Linked DNA regions of Stegostoma tigrinum. The protein of the gene in region 1 purifies or fractionates together with the protein of each later gene. This does not show direct contact. Links are inferred from orthologs where the notes say so. Each region holds a gene or a part of one and is shown in the gene's direction. Other genes may lie near its edges.

The links.
Region 2: the proteins of dcaf6 (region 1) and troponin C, skeletal muscle-like purify together in Homo sapiens (affinity purification with mass spectrometry; 3 studies listed by BioGRID and IntAct, with this or other methods). This does not show direct contact. The link is inferred for Stegostoma tigrinum from reciprocal best matches to the Homo sapiens genes DCAF6 and TNNC2.

Annotation. Positions count from the first base shown.
Region 1 is NC_081365.1:41,497,612-41,504,852, forward strand, and holds the start of dcaf6 (DDB1- and CUL4-associated factor 6), read left to right. Parts: upstream 1-4,227; 5' UTR 4,228-4,452; coding exon 4,453-4,540; intron 4,541-4,802; exon of another isoform or gene 4,803-4,824; intron 4,825-7,241. Other genes in the region: mpc2b (mitochondrial pyruvate carrier 2b), read right to left, coding at 3,794-3,893. UniProt on the Homo sapiens protein: Ligand-dependent coactivator of nuclear receptors. Enhance transcriptional activity of the nuclear receptors NR3C1 and AR. May function as a substrate receptor for CUL4-DDB1 E3 ubiquitin-protein ligase complex.
Region 2 is NC_081372.1:51,804,245-51,811,832, forward strand, and holds the start of troponin C, skeletal muscle-like, read left to right. Parts: upstream 1-4,566; 5' UTR 4,567-4,672; coding exon 4,673-4,675; intron 4,676-6,948; exon of another isoform or gene 6,949-7,026; intron 7,027-7,588. UniProt on the Homo sapiens protein: Troponin is the central regulatory protein of striated muscle contraction. Tn consists of three components: Tn-I which is the inhibitor of actomyosin ATPase, Tn-T which contains the binding site for tropomyosin and Tn-C.

The DNA of each region.
Region 1 (7,241 bases):
GAGAGAATACATTTGACCAGAAATTCATCACACAGCAGTGTGTACAAAATGTCACCAAGGCTCTCCAGGGAAAGGAGGAGATAATAAATCCTGTACAGCGATTCCCTGAGCAGACTGTCAAAGTTAGATGGCAGAATGCCTCAGGGCCAGAACTTTCAAACAAGCTGACTAGTGGAGAAAAAGCCATTCCCAACTAGATTCTTCAGTCACTCCTGGAATCTTGGTGACATTGTACGCTGCCCTTGAATCCCTTACCAATTACCATCATGAAACGTACCTTGCCAAGTCTGAAGAGACACACGGTGGTTCTTGTCAGGGTTCATCTCATGCAGTGACTAAATGCAGGATTCTGTGCTCTACAAACTATTCCCATGGACTAACTTTGAGATAAACATCAACCGGTGTTGGAAGACAACCGATCTCCGAAAGACACTCCTTTATCTGCAGGGAACTTGCTGGTAATCCTGATCAAAGATCTAGCCATGACTGAGAGTTGCAGACTTACATATTCCTATATCCAGGAGCTACTTATGGAGTACAAACTAAAGCTTGGGACAATTGCTGCAAACGCCAATGAAGAACAGTCTACGGTAGGCATCTGGAACCAGATTTTAGGAAGTCGTGTAAACTCCTTGGTGTGCACACTCTGGAGAATGTTCAGTGTGAAATAAAAATGTACATGTTAAATATAAATTGTAATTATGTGGAAATGAGCCACCTTGTAGCACAAGAAACAAGTATTTCATTTCATGCAAGTGTACTTTCTCAAATGTTAGGAGTAATATATATTTTGGGGAAGAAAATGGTGAGGTTGCCTGCCCCAATGATTATGCAGTGATATTGCATCTAATTACATGCATGACTGCTCAATAGGACAAAAACTGGGTTTGGCTTTGTCATCCTCTTCAATAGTGAAATAGGCACTAGCTCACCATAGAATCACAGGAGGCCATTCAGATCCTTATGCCAGTGTTGGCTATGAGAAAGTTGTCCATTTTCTTGTCTTTATTCCATATTTTTTTTCAGTAAATATTTATTACCATTTCCTCTAAAAGCTGATAAGAATTTCCCACATCATTATGCTGTGGCCTAAAAACCATCCATGTAAAAAAATTTCTTCTAACTTGGCCTGCTGTTTTTAATGAGAATGACTGTAAACTCATGGCCTCACATTACCAGCTTAAAGGTTAGAGGAACATTTTTGTGAAAAGTCAACTTTAAATAGCAGTTAGACATCTTCTTAAGTGTCATTATCATAACAAAAGGCCCCACAATATCCAGTCTGTAAATAAATAACGATTCTCTTCCAAAGAGCAATTATTGTCAAGCTTTATCTCAACCTGCCCTAGTATTTTTGGTGAAAGCTATCCAAGATTCTACCTATTGTCTAACCAATGATTTGCAAATGATTAACATTCTTCTGTTCAATGTCCTCCTACTTTTAAAGGTGTGTCTATTTGAACTCAAAGGTTTTTGAGCACTTTTAAAGTCTTCCCAAGAATATGCCCTCTTATTTTGTCCTTACAAAAAAGTGTCAAGTCACAATTGTCCACATTAAAATTTAACTTGGTACCTACCTGCCCAAGTTGCCCAGAGTTGCTTACACACTGTTACCTAGCTTCATATTTTTGATGTATCTGCAAATTGTGATAGTGTGACTGCTATATACAAATCCAAACACACCTCTTTAAAATGATGGTTGAAGTATCCACCTGGAGAACAACTCTTTACATCTTTTCTATCCAAATAAAATCCATACATTGGCAATATCCAAGGAATACCTCAAGCATTGAGGCTAGGCAAGTTGGAAAGGAATTAGAAAAATTACATCCAATTGAAAGAATTATGTATACAATATAGTCATATATAGCCAAATAAATTCAAAAGTAACATTAGAAAAGCTTCGAAAGATACCTGGATGACCTGGAGCAACGGGCAAGCCAATGATGCTTTTGATAAACCCTGGAAACCCGCTACACGCCATTCTCTAAAAGAAACAAGCCAAAGGAAGAGGATACAAGACTGAGCTGCTATCAAAACCAGCAGAGAGCAGAGATCATGGGAACTGCAGTTGCTGGAGAATCCAAGATAATAAAGTGAAGCTGGATGAACACAGCAGGCCAAGCAGCATCTCAGGAGCACAAAAGCTGATGTTTCGGGCCTAGACCCTTCAGAGGGTGGGTCTAGGCCCGAAACGTCAGCTTTTGTGCTCCTGAGATGCTGCTTGGCCTGCTGTGTTCATCCAGCTTCACACTTTATTATCTCAGAGAGCAGAGATCCCTGGGCAAACTTTCCAGAGGGTTATGGCTTCAGTACCAGAACATAACTGCCAGAATAGCAGCCACTCTAGGCCAGTTACAAGCTCTGAGGAAAGAAGCATAAATCCAACTCCGTAATTTTCCTTAGACTGTACACAGTTTACATCCATTTAATCCTGGAATACAAATAGACAAGTGCACTGCAAGCCAATCATAAATTAAAATACTTCACACATTCAGAGCTAAGCACTAAGGGCAGCACATCCCATACCATACTTTATCTACCCCAACAGAGAAAAGTTGTGGCATCCAAATTATGCAATTGACAGGAGAAGGTAATAGAGCGAGAGAAAAATGGAACGGGGGAGGTGGGGGGGGGGGGGGGTAAGTGCAAGAATCTGTAAGAATGTCAATGTTGCTAAAGTTCAATGGCGATTTTAAGCTTTTGTTCTTGACTACAGGGGGAATGTTGTCTTGTATTCAGCTTGTTGGAAAGGTGGGTTCTGTTATTTCATCTTTAACCATTTTTGCTAAACACATTCAAATAAAAAACAGAATCAAATGACAGAAGGCACAATGCTCTAATACAGTTTTCGGAAGATGGATCCCAAACTGCTCCTAAGAGTACATTCATTTTACTCCAAACACGTTTGTAAAGATGCACATGTTTGACACCAGTTACCATTAAGCAGTTGTCGAGGCAAGCGTAGACTGGATAGAAGGTCAGCAACGCGTGCAAGTTAACCTTCTGTTTACAAGGGAGGCTGAAACGTCACAGCCGTGCTGCTACCGTTGAAGTGGCGTGTAGTTATCTCCTTGGAGATACGAAAAATCGATCGAAATTGCGCGCATAGTTTCTTTTGAAAATCATATCTGAAAATATTAAACCTACAACTGCTTTAAATTTTACAAATAAGTGATTCGACACGGGACACCAAACCAAATTACCTTCAATCCGAGCAACGATCTTTATTTTTAAAAATGAAGTTTCAAGGTCAAAACACGTATAACAATATTCTGAGAAGAACCAAGTTATTACCAGCATAAACTCGCTAGGTTCCTAAATTTACCAGTCTGTGCTGCCGGAGTCGTTTTACATTCACCTTATCTGAATGACACGACTACATTTCTAACTGTGCACTAAAGTGCCAGGACTTGATTCACGGGAATAAACCTGTGAAGCGTCAAGACCCACTTTACAACCAGTTTACTGGAAAGGCGAAATTTGAAGGCCCCTCGGAGTGCGGCCCATTTCCTCTCTGCCCCCAAGAAGCCATACAATCATTTATTTCAGTGACAGCAGATGCCAAGTCCCAGACCGACCGATGACAAGCAGCCGCGATTTTTGTTTGTTAAATGCTATTCATGTTTGTGCAGCATTCCCCCACCTTTATTCGCTCAGCAAACATTCATAGCAACAGCAGCAGGATCCACTCCTTCACACATACACCTACCCACCCTTTCGCCCAAGCCACTTCCGTCAAGAATAAACCCATTCAGCACGCCTGCCCAGGCCGGTCGCACGGCTGTGTTACCTGCTGGGTGATCATAAAACGGCTTCATCTTGGGAGGAAGCATCTTCCCGATTTTATCCATCATTCGGTGATAACTCGCTCTCAGACCCGCTACTGCCATATTCCTTCCACCTAATTACAACCCGCAACCGTTCAGAAAGGGAGTGTCTGTACAGACGGTAGCAAACCGCCTAGAGGGCCCGGAAAATTCACGGTCGGCCCCGTTTCGACCTCTAACTTTGTACAGCCCGACACTAATTGTACGACAGCCGGTGCGAAACAGCCATAGGCGGAGCCGGATCACTTTGAAACCCGCCCCTTACCGTCACTGACCAATGACACTACGCTCGGCACCCAGCCCCCGCTTTAGACAGATGTGAGTGGTTACTGCTGGCGGAAGTCTGGTGACGTCCGCGCGTCCGCTGATGCGCGGGGCTTGGCCCACCTCCTCCATGTCCATTTGAACGGGATCTCGCGATATTTCCACGGCTGACAGACGGCCGTTCGCCCATTGCCAACATGACGGTCGTCACCACAATAATAACAACGATATGAAAAAGGAGCGGTTTGGCTCGGGTGGTGTTTGATGGTGTCTTTGGCTACCTTGTTGTCTTGTCGGGTGGATAATGACGGACGCCCGCAGTGGTTGATATTATTTGTGTAACAGGAGGAGCGGCAGGATGTCACGTCCCACTAACCTGGTGTGGGATGTGAGGAAACGCTCACTGGGGCTGGAGGATCCTCGCTTAATTCGCTTGTCCTATTTAGGTAAGAAGTGGTAGACTGCCTGCTGAGGTCCAGCTGATCCACTTTCCTCATACCAGCTCCAGCCCTATCCCCTGTTTCTGCCCCTTTTTTAAGCACTACGTGTGCTTTTTTTTAAAGCATATAGTGTTTTTAAAAATTTCATTGGCCCAAATTAGAAATCTTCCCAGCAAGTACAGTTTTTTTTAAACGAATTTAGCGTTTTATTCCCGTCTTGGCGGCTAGATGAATATTTCCCCCGTGTGTCTCCGAGAGCAACTTTGATTTAAGATTAGAAGAGGCAAAAGGTGCGATTGTTTTTAAGACGTTAAATTGTGCAAACATGATATGATTGACAACAGGATGTACGTAATGTTGAATGGACATTGTGTTTCTGTAGTAAGAGAACTAGTGTTTTAGTTTCTCCCTCGCCCCATGCTTCGGTTTAGTAGTTTCACGAAAGTTTTTTTTTCAGTTTGCCTGTAGGATTTGATATTCTTTCTAATTGTAGATATAAATTTGAAGAGAAAATAATTCGGGTTTATATACACCACCAAGAGCTGTTGCTAAGATATTGACGTAATAATAGCCAGATGATAGCGTTTCCGAAATATTTCCAAAAACAATCTCCCAGTTTAACGCGACCTTGAATATTTATTACATTAGAGATATATCTGATTTTTTTGGTGGTGAAGGCTTTTATTGTGTAGTTGTGTTCATTTTTCAAATTGTCAAAAAATGCATTATTATTTGCCCTTTCCTGGTCATTTTAAACTCCTGAATGACAATTCCTTCGATGTTTTTGTATCTTATGGTTAGTATGTTGGTGTGTAAAAGTTCATTGATTTAATCAGCATCAAAAATATGTTTCTGGTTCTTCATATCGTATTTTGAAAAACAATACTAATTGAGAGAAACTTCATTCACCTATAAATTTAGTTGCAGTTTTTACTTTGTCAAGTAAATAAGATCAGTCAACAAGTTCAGTATATTTAATTTTTAAATGATTAGAGTTCAAATACATTTGACATTTACTTCTGAGCTACAAGCTTGTGTGTAACTGGATAAGCCCAAGGCCTCACTATTGCTGCTGCCACTGTCAAGTTTCTGCATGGGTCTCCACATGACTGATGAGGCTTGATTATGAAACTACAGATCTATGAACACATGAAGCAAGGTGTCCTGTAGGTAGTGGGGTCTAGAGGGCAGGATTTGCTTTCCTTTTCCTTGTTCTGTTATCATTAAGATGATGTGAATCAAACGTCACTTAACATATGATGCAGTTTAATGGACAAATGTTGTCCCTTTGAACAATTGATAATATGCTTCTCCTAATCATAAATGCCAATGTTGCGACACTTCAAAAAGATCTCCTGAGTGTCATTGAAACATTTTCATTGTCCTTCCCAGAAGACTGACCATTTGGGCATTGAAAAAACAGAATGGTAGATGCTTTTTGACCATCAAGTAATGTTCAGTGTATCAAAGTTCATTTTTGCAGGGGTTCTTTTCTCTGGCTTGTTGGTTGGCTCATTGAGCTGACTGGTTTTCATGCAGATGTTTTGTCTCCCTTCTAGGTGACATTGTTAGTGCTGCGTAGCCTCCATTGAAGCGCTGTTGCTCTATCCCACTCCGAATTTGTATGGTCTGGCCTGTCACGGTGAGCAGTCTTGTTTCCGTTTTTGTACTGTAGTGGTATATAGATGGGGTCTATTTCAGCATGTTTGTTAATTACGTCGATTGGTTGAAAACCAGGCCTCCAGGAATTCTCGTGCTTGTCTTTGCCTCATTTGCCCTAGTACTATAACTTTGTCCCAGTCAAATTGATGTCCTTCTATGTCAGAATGTATTGAAATGAGGAAGAATTGGTTGTGCCTCATTTCAATACACTCTGACACAGAAGGACATCAGTTTGACTGGGACAAAGTTACAGTATTAGGATGAGTCAGACAAAGACAAGCATGAGAATTCCTGGAGGCCTGGTTTTCAAGCACTGATGCAATTAATAAAAATGTTGAAATAGACCCCATCTACGTACCACTATGGTATAAAAGCAGAGACAAGATTGCTCACCATGACAGACTGGAGCATATAAATTCACAGGGGGACAGAACAACAACACTACAATTCAGGCTACGTGGCACTGACATTATCATCTAGAAGGGAGACAAAATGTTTGCATAAAAACCAGTCAGCTCAAAGGACCAACTAATAACTCCAACCACAACCCAAGCTACAGATCTTTGTTAAAAAATTGTAAGATTTTTTTATCTTTGCTTAGAAACTGCCTTCAATAAGGATACAAGGTTTTGACCAACCTTCCGATGAATCCAGAGGATGGGATGGACATGTTACTGTGGGAATTTCTCTCTTGATCTGATGCATTACTGATACATTGTCTAAGATTATGTTGGCAATAACTGCTCTCTGCACTAGGAATGTTGTTTTCTTGTGGAGTCAAATTGCTGCTGCCGAGAAGGCTAGGCAGTTGTAGGTTAGCTCTTGAATTTTCTCATCAGTGTCAATGTTTGGAGACAGGTGACTGCCAAAATGAGGGAACTGCTCAACATATTCAAGAGTTTCTTAACTAATACATATAGGAATGTGAGTTGGATGACCAGGTTTGGGTTGATGTGAGATTTTTGTTTCAGCAGCGATCAAGTTTCTTGAATGCAGAATTTAGGAGATTGAGAATGGCATGCAAATCTGGTGCAGAGTGGGCGAT
Region 2 (7,588 bases), on another chromosome or scaffold:
GTCATCAACCATCACACTGTCAGCAGTGAATTCCCTTTCACTCACCGCCTGTCCTCTCAAACATTCCGGACTTATCTCCTTTGAAAAGTATCTCTAAAATGCATGGCAGCTGCTTGTAACAAGAAACCAGGCTTGAAAATTGACTTTAGTTCCTGATATCTTGTTCACACATGAAAGTACTGGATCAATAAATACATAAATTGTAATCTAATTTGATTAAACTAAAGACTAAATTTCCTGTCTTAGGATGAAAGTCAAGATATTGTTTGTTCACTTATTATCGTTTTGTGTGCTAAGTGGTAAAGTTATGGCAATATTCTGCAGAAAGATTATTTTGTTTGTTATGCAGAAATGTTTGAGTTGACATCTGTCTAATGTAAAGATTGAGACTCAAGAGTGGGAACAACCTGATTACTCTTGTTCTGCGTTGGCTGTAATGTAATGTTATTTTAAAAATCAGACCACAAGTACAATTATAATTGTTTTGATGCATATACAATCACACCATTAGTAGGAAAATTCAGGTATGCAGCCAAAAAAAAGCCATACAAACGTAGCAGCAAATATATATATACAAACATGTTGGAAAATGCAAATACACCTGTACTGGCATACATGTCATAGACAAATACAAGCATATAATTAAGGAATAATAACAAGTAAAAATTCACACAAAAATACAAAATAACCTGCAATATCAAATACAAGCAAACAGGTCATAGGCAATTAGCAGTATAGCCAAAGACAGAAAGTAGTATGCATGTCATAATCGAATACATGTGCACACCACTGAAAAACATAGGTACCACCTCAATATTAATACAAATATACCCATCACATCACATCTATAGATCCCATAACTGGCAGATCTGGGAACATAATTTATTACAAGAAATACAGGAACCCATTACAGACAAATATAGATCAGACTATAATGAACATTAGGGGTACACATGTCATGCATAAATACAGGTTTACCCTGTCACAAATAAAACAGACATACCCATCACAAACATGTACCTGTGTCAAAGACAAATACTTATATATACATCACAGAAATATACAGGTAGACTTGCAGTTAGCAAATGTAGGTATATCTATCACAGCCAAATACAGGTACACCTGTAAAGACATGAAACAAAAAACAACATAGACATACACAGGTACACTAGCCATAGAGAAGTAAAATTATGCTAATCTTAGAGAGGTAACGTATACCCAAAATCAGACAAACACAGTTTACAGATAACAGAAAAAAAGATATATTCTTCCACATAAAATTATTAAAACTGTCCATTACAGGTATGCACTGAAATCCTTATTACTTACAATTACAAATATACCTGTCACTATCTAATGCAGAAAAAATCTTCACAGCCAGATATAGTTAGTTATATTTGCCACACATAGGGGAGGCAATGGCCTAGTGGTATTATCGCTAGATTGTTAATTCAGAGATTTAGATAATGTTCTGGGGACTTGGATTTGAATCTCGCCACAGCAGATGGTGGAAATTGAATTCAATAAATATCTGGAATTAAGAAACTAATGATGACTGTGAATCCATTGAAAGAAAACCCCTTGGTTCACCAACGTCTTTTAGGGAAGGAAACTGCAATCCTTACCTGGACTTGCCTGCACATGACTCCAGACCCACAGCAATGTAGGTGACTCTTACCAGCCCTCTGGGCAATTAGGAATTGGCAATAAATGCTGCCTAGCCAGTGACGCCCTCATTCCATGAATGAACAAAAGCTCAAGGGCAGGTATATTCCTAATAAAAATGTGCAAATAAACTCCTCAAAGACAAGTTTAGGCATAAGTATCATATATCAAACAGATATACCCTTATAAGACATTCCCAGCAATATACAGATATGCAATGGATAAATATAAGTTTGCCCATCATAGAAGAAAAGATAGGATACACCAAATATATACAAATACACCCGTAATGGGATCATTTCTATCTGAGAGACTGTTGGTGATTTCTTCATTTGGATTTGAAAATGTCAATGCACAAAATGCAAAAATGATACAATTATCTAAGATTTCTTCTGATCTTTTAAACAGTTAATAAAAGTGTGGGCATGTATGTGAAGGGACATGAACTACTGATTGAAATGAAATAAACAGTATTGAAATTTAAAGAATTGAGTCGATATCTTGTAAGAAAAATGTGTTCAATATAAAGACAGACTTTGGCTTGGTTCTGAAACATAAAATGATAATGTGTAAAATAAATACGAGCAACATTTTTACCAATCATATGATGGGCATGCTATACTTAACCACCACAACTGCCATTTCCCCAACTGCCCTCCCCGACTCCTCCACACAAACAAAAAATTACATTTCACCCAACATGTCTGACAGTTTGAATTTTCAGTACTATTCTGTGGAAAACCTCATTGCTTTGGTGTTAGCTCAGCTTCAGTTTGTCGCACATTCACCTTTGCATCAAAGGTTCAAGGTTCAGATCTCATTTCAGATCCTTAATATAAAACACAAAATCAATTTGATACCCCAGAGCAATGTTTGGGAGGTGGTGACGGGGTTGCTTTCTTTCAGATGAGATTCTACACTGAGAATCTGGCTGCCACCTCTAGTGAATGTATAACACCCTACTGGAAACAAAAACAGAAGTTTCTGGAAAAGCTCAGCAGGTCTGGCAGCATCTGTGAAGAGAAATCAGAGCTAACATTTGGGCCTGGTGACCCTATTGCTGTTTTGACACCATCACCTTAATAAGTTGTTATGTTCTCTCTACCTTAATTATTCTGTACAGTTTTGGATTACTTATTAATTTGGTTACACCCGCGGCATGCAACTCTTATACCTATCATGTTTTTCCAGTCATTTGGTTTGTCTCCAGCACCACCTGATATTAATTTTTTTTTGTAATTATATCTCTGCCTCATTTAATTGGATTATAAGTCATCCCTTCACTTATTATTCAGCTGCTGACACATTACTCAGACTGTCTGACACTTTTGATCATCTGCAGAGACTTATTACTCGAGCCTCCACTCATGCCATTTATATGATTATTTGATCTCTCCACCCTCGATCTCTCTGCCTATAAATTCTGTGACTGTGTGCTACTCTCTCACATCACCTGATGAAGGGGCTAGGCTCTGAAAGCTTGTGATTTCAACCTGGTGTAGTGTGACTTCTGACTGTTGTTGTGAAGAGCAGGGGAATTAGCTCCAGTAAATAAAAACCAAAAAAAACCCTGTGGATCCCATAAATCAGAAATGAAAAGTGAAATTGCTGCATAAACTCAGCAGGTCTGGCAGCATCTGTGAAGAGAAATCAGAGTTAACGTTTCGGGTCTGATGACCTTTCTGAGGAATGGCCTAAAATTGATTTCTCTTCACAAATACTGCCAGATCTGCTAAGCTTTTCCAGAAATTTCTGTTTTTGTTTGTGATTTGTTCCAGTAGCCTTATTCCACTATCAATATCACTATCTTCTTGTTTGTGGGATTTCTACAAGCTGATAGCCACTTTCCCAAATTACAACACTAACTGTGCTTCCAAAGTACAGTGCATCAATATATTTTGCGAAGTCAAGCAATGTGCTGTATGGATGCAAATGCTACGTTTATTGGTTGAAGGCAAATACAGCAATATAGCAAATGATTATTTAAACGTCGCCATTAAGGTGCCTTTCCAGCTCCGACGTGGCATTTTCATAGGATTGGACTTGTTCCAATCTCGCTTACTCACCCTGAATTCCATGCTGAGGAAGAATTGGGCTTCGTTTGCATTTGGATACTGTTTGGCTCGTTTTGAATCTGATGACTGATTTGATTTGTTAAACAGGCCGATTTCGTGACAGCAGGACCTGAAACTCATTCCAATTGTCCAAACATTTGGCCAGAGCCGCTCAGAATTCCTAGCAGTTCCTGGCTTCCAGCAGCCACAGCATTTTGACTTTACGTAATCGCAGGGATTCCTATTAAAATTCTTTCAACTGTTAAACGCAGCCATAGACGGCCGCTGCATGGGTATGAACGATCCAACAGAAAAGTAAAGGTTTAACCTGGAATGGCCCCTAGAAAAGGACTCTCTCCAGCTTTCAAAATTGTTATTGGAATAAAAAGATCGAAGTGTCGATTTGCCCATTCAAACACTGCTACTTCCAGGATTTAGTTACGGGAAGAAAAGCCTATCATTGAGATATCTGGTTCAAACACCAGCGATTGATCCGGGACACTGTTGATCTCGGGGCCCGAAGTGGGGTCGATCTTTGTACATGACCAAGATACTGAGTCATTTCAGGATGAGTACAGTGCTCCACGTGGCCCCGAGAATAGCTATTATCATCAAATGTTTTGTAGTTAAATAATGACGGGCAGTTAACGAACAAACTGGATCTATCGCATACCTGAGGGGCCTCGATCAGTCCCTTTATATAGCTTGTTTCGGACAGAGCCCACCCTCGCCCGGTTGTAAAAAGAGGACACGTGCCCACCTCGCAATCTCACTATTGGTTTTTCTACAAGCCAGGTCAGAGATGCTGAAATCTCACTGGATATTCGGCCAATTAAAGAAAGAGGGCAAGTTAAAAGCTGAGGAGAAAAAAGATTAGCTTTCTAGTAGGAGTTGTGGAGGAGAGGCGTTTCAATTTAACCTGAGTTTCTGTGGCGCCCTAATAAGCCAGGACAATGGTAAGCATACACATTAAATTCATGTTTCCAATGTGTTGTTTCATTAATTCCAGCGTCATGCTGATATCATCCCGCTTCGCTCCTGTAGCGCATATAATAAGATAGAGTAAGATATATATATATATTTAAATCGGCGAACAGTGTCTCCGTGCACAATTCGAGATGTCCAATTTCTTTTTTTAAAGTTCAACAGCTACTTTAAAATAAAAGGTGGAAAGTACATTATAGCCAAACGAAGCAAAACAAAAAGTAACGGTACACGGTACTTGGTGTCGCGCGTCTTCAACAACAAAACCATATTACCTGCTAGCGAGTTCCGGAAAACCAGCAAATGCGGAAACAGCAGGGACTCACGGCGAGAATTCAACAAAGTAGCCTGGATATTGCTATGGGGTTTTGTTTTAGAGGTGGAAAAACAATACCTTGCAATTGGACATAGTCATGATATAAAATGTTTGCAAAGGGAAGAAAATGCACAATGTGCCTTCCACCTTTTTCTTTAAAAAATACATTAAAAATTCAGAGATGTAGCTATCTGGTATAAAAAAGGGAAATTTATTTTAAGGATATGCTTTTGCTAACATCATTTGACAGCTATAGCGTGAAAACGCCAGGTGCCACCAGAGTAAACAAAATAAACCTTCAGATTAGTACAACTCGCGAATCAACGTTGCTACTGTCGACGCCTTAACTGCCACAAACAAAAATAAACAAGCAAAATGATGTTACAAAGTAAGAGATCGCTTCCCGTTTTTGTTTGTTTCTCTCTGTGAATTTCTCCGTGAATTGTGAGCACGGTTCCTCAAGAGCTCTCGCCGACCTCTAGTACCTGCAAGAGGGAACGAAACGGATAAAAAGCGGAAGATTCGCGTTATAAATAGAGTGAAAGGGGGTCTTCTTCACTTACGAGGCACATTCCTGTGGCTAAAGTTTCTGGATTAAGGCCGTCGCTCATCAGGGAGCTCCGAGTTTTCCGCCTTCTCGACCTTTAATGGGCTGGCGGATTTGGAAATGCTTGCAGCAAAGCACGAGGAGAAACGCGGACACACGTTCCCAGGTTACACACGTATGTGTTTCAACGGAGCGTGTGCAGAGTCACCCGGAGCTCTCAAACTCCCGGGAATAATTCCGAACAAACTGTCGCCGACTTTAGATGACAAGGCGCGTGCACTACTCCGACTAAAAACTGTTGACAATCGCCTTTATTTGTATTAGAGGGGAAAGTAGAATGCGCAGTGAAATGATTATTTGCATCGTGGTGTTTGGTTGTTTCTGTTTAATGAGTTCAGTCAGATATTTGAACCACTCACTGTGACAGTGTATCGAGTGAACCGAAGAGTACAGCCAAGCCATCTCAACTTGCTGATGTCTTCAAACTCCACACTCTCTCCTGGCTAATTTAAACCTCTGACAGGAGGAGTCTTCAGACAAGACTGATTTCCCCATTTTGGGAAGAACCCCTTCAAGCAGTTAAAAATATCTCATCTTCTGTTCCATCATAAGATCTCTCGTCTATGCCAATCACTTACCTTCTCTCCGTGGTACCTACTGCCACCCACTGATTCCTCAAATCTGGTCTGTATCTAATTGGAGACATTTAGTTTTTGATCCGTTCACCTCAATCATAAAAACGGGGCACGTTAAACAAACGCCGTGCGTTCGTTTAAACATAGAATTTTAAACGAGACCTTTTTTAAAAAAAATTCTCTCGTCCAATATTCTGGGAGTTCTGGCTTTAAAATTTTACATGGCAGTTAAGCATTCCAAATGAGCTACATGTGGTTTGCAAAACGTTAACCAATTTCAAATGTTCTGCATCTCACAGTCACAAAGATTTTTTCGATATAAACCTGCAGACGAGCGAAACTTGATTCAACTGTTCAACGCGATACTCAACAGTAATTTTGACAACTCGCCAATGGGCGAGGAACCCGCACAATCAGGCGAGACTCGAGTTGTAAGTCTCGCCCAATATTCCTCTCCATTTATACCAATAGAACGGAACTGGTGGTGCGTAAAATCGGCGTTCCACCGGATCTGGTCAGTTTCCGAAGAATAAGTTAAAATCACACCAGCCACCATCCCGCAGCCCCCGCCGCCCCCATTGGATGATCCCGATGTTTTCCGTTTCACCTTTTACTTCCTGAACATTTTCTTTTGCGCTCTCAGCAAAATTCTTCTCCCTCCCCTCAACAACCCCACCCCCCCTTCCTATCTTACCGCAATCTGATTTGCTGTTGGAGAAAGCCGACGTCGGCTGGATTCCCGAGGTAAATTTACAGACCAAGTGGCATCCATACTGTCGCCACCGCTGAAGTCAGGAGTATAGGTTGTCCAAAAAAAAAGCCGAGGTAAGAACCGTTCGTTTCAATCCGTGTACGTCGAAATCAGTCGAGTTAGGGTGGGAATAAAGTGGCACAGGAACTCAAATGCGCACCGTTCTTTCTGCCTTTTGAGGCTATTTGCATTGTACTTCACTGCGGAGCACATCATTCTCCTGCAGCTAGCTAAGTCATTGCACATCTCTAACATGTTCTGTCTATTTGAAATCAGTGCCAAGAAGTGGCAAGCCTTGCAAAGTTCTACTTCAGTCGTAGTGCAGATCGTTTCTGTGAATGTGCGTTATAACTGGTGTGAATTGAGCGAAGATGAAGCTGAGCTACTCCACTGCTTGAGATACATTGGGTTTCAGTGCCGACTCGAGAAGCCCCCACCTGCCCGTTACTCCAACTATGACTTTGCTTCAAGACAGAACTTTTCCAACCCATTTCAATTCGGCCACCGTCTTGAAATCCGAGTTGAAAGAAGCGGATATGTGATATAATCATTTTGCTTTGTTTGTTTAGAATTGGAGACCCGAGACGAGGTAAACATGAGAGGATGAAACGAAAATGCTCAAATGTTCTGATATCA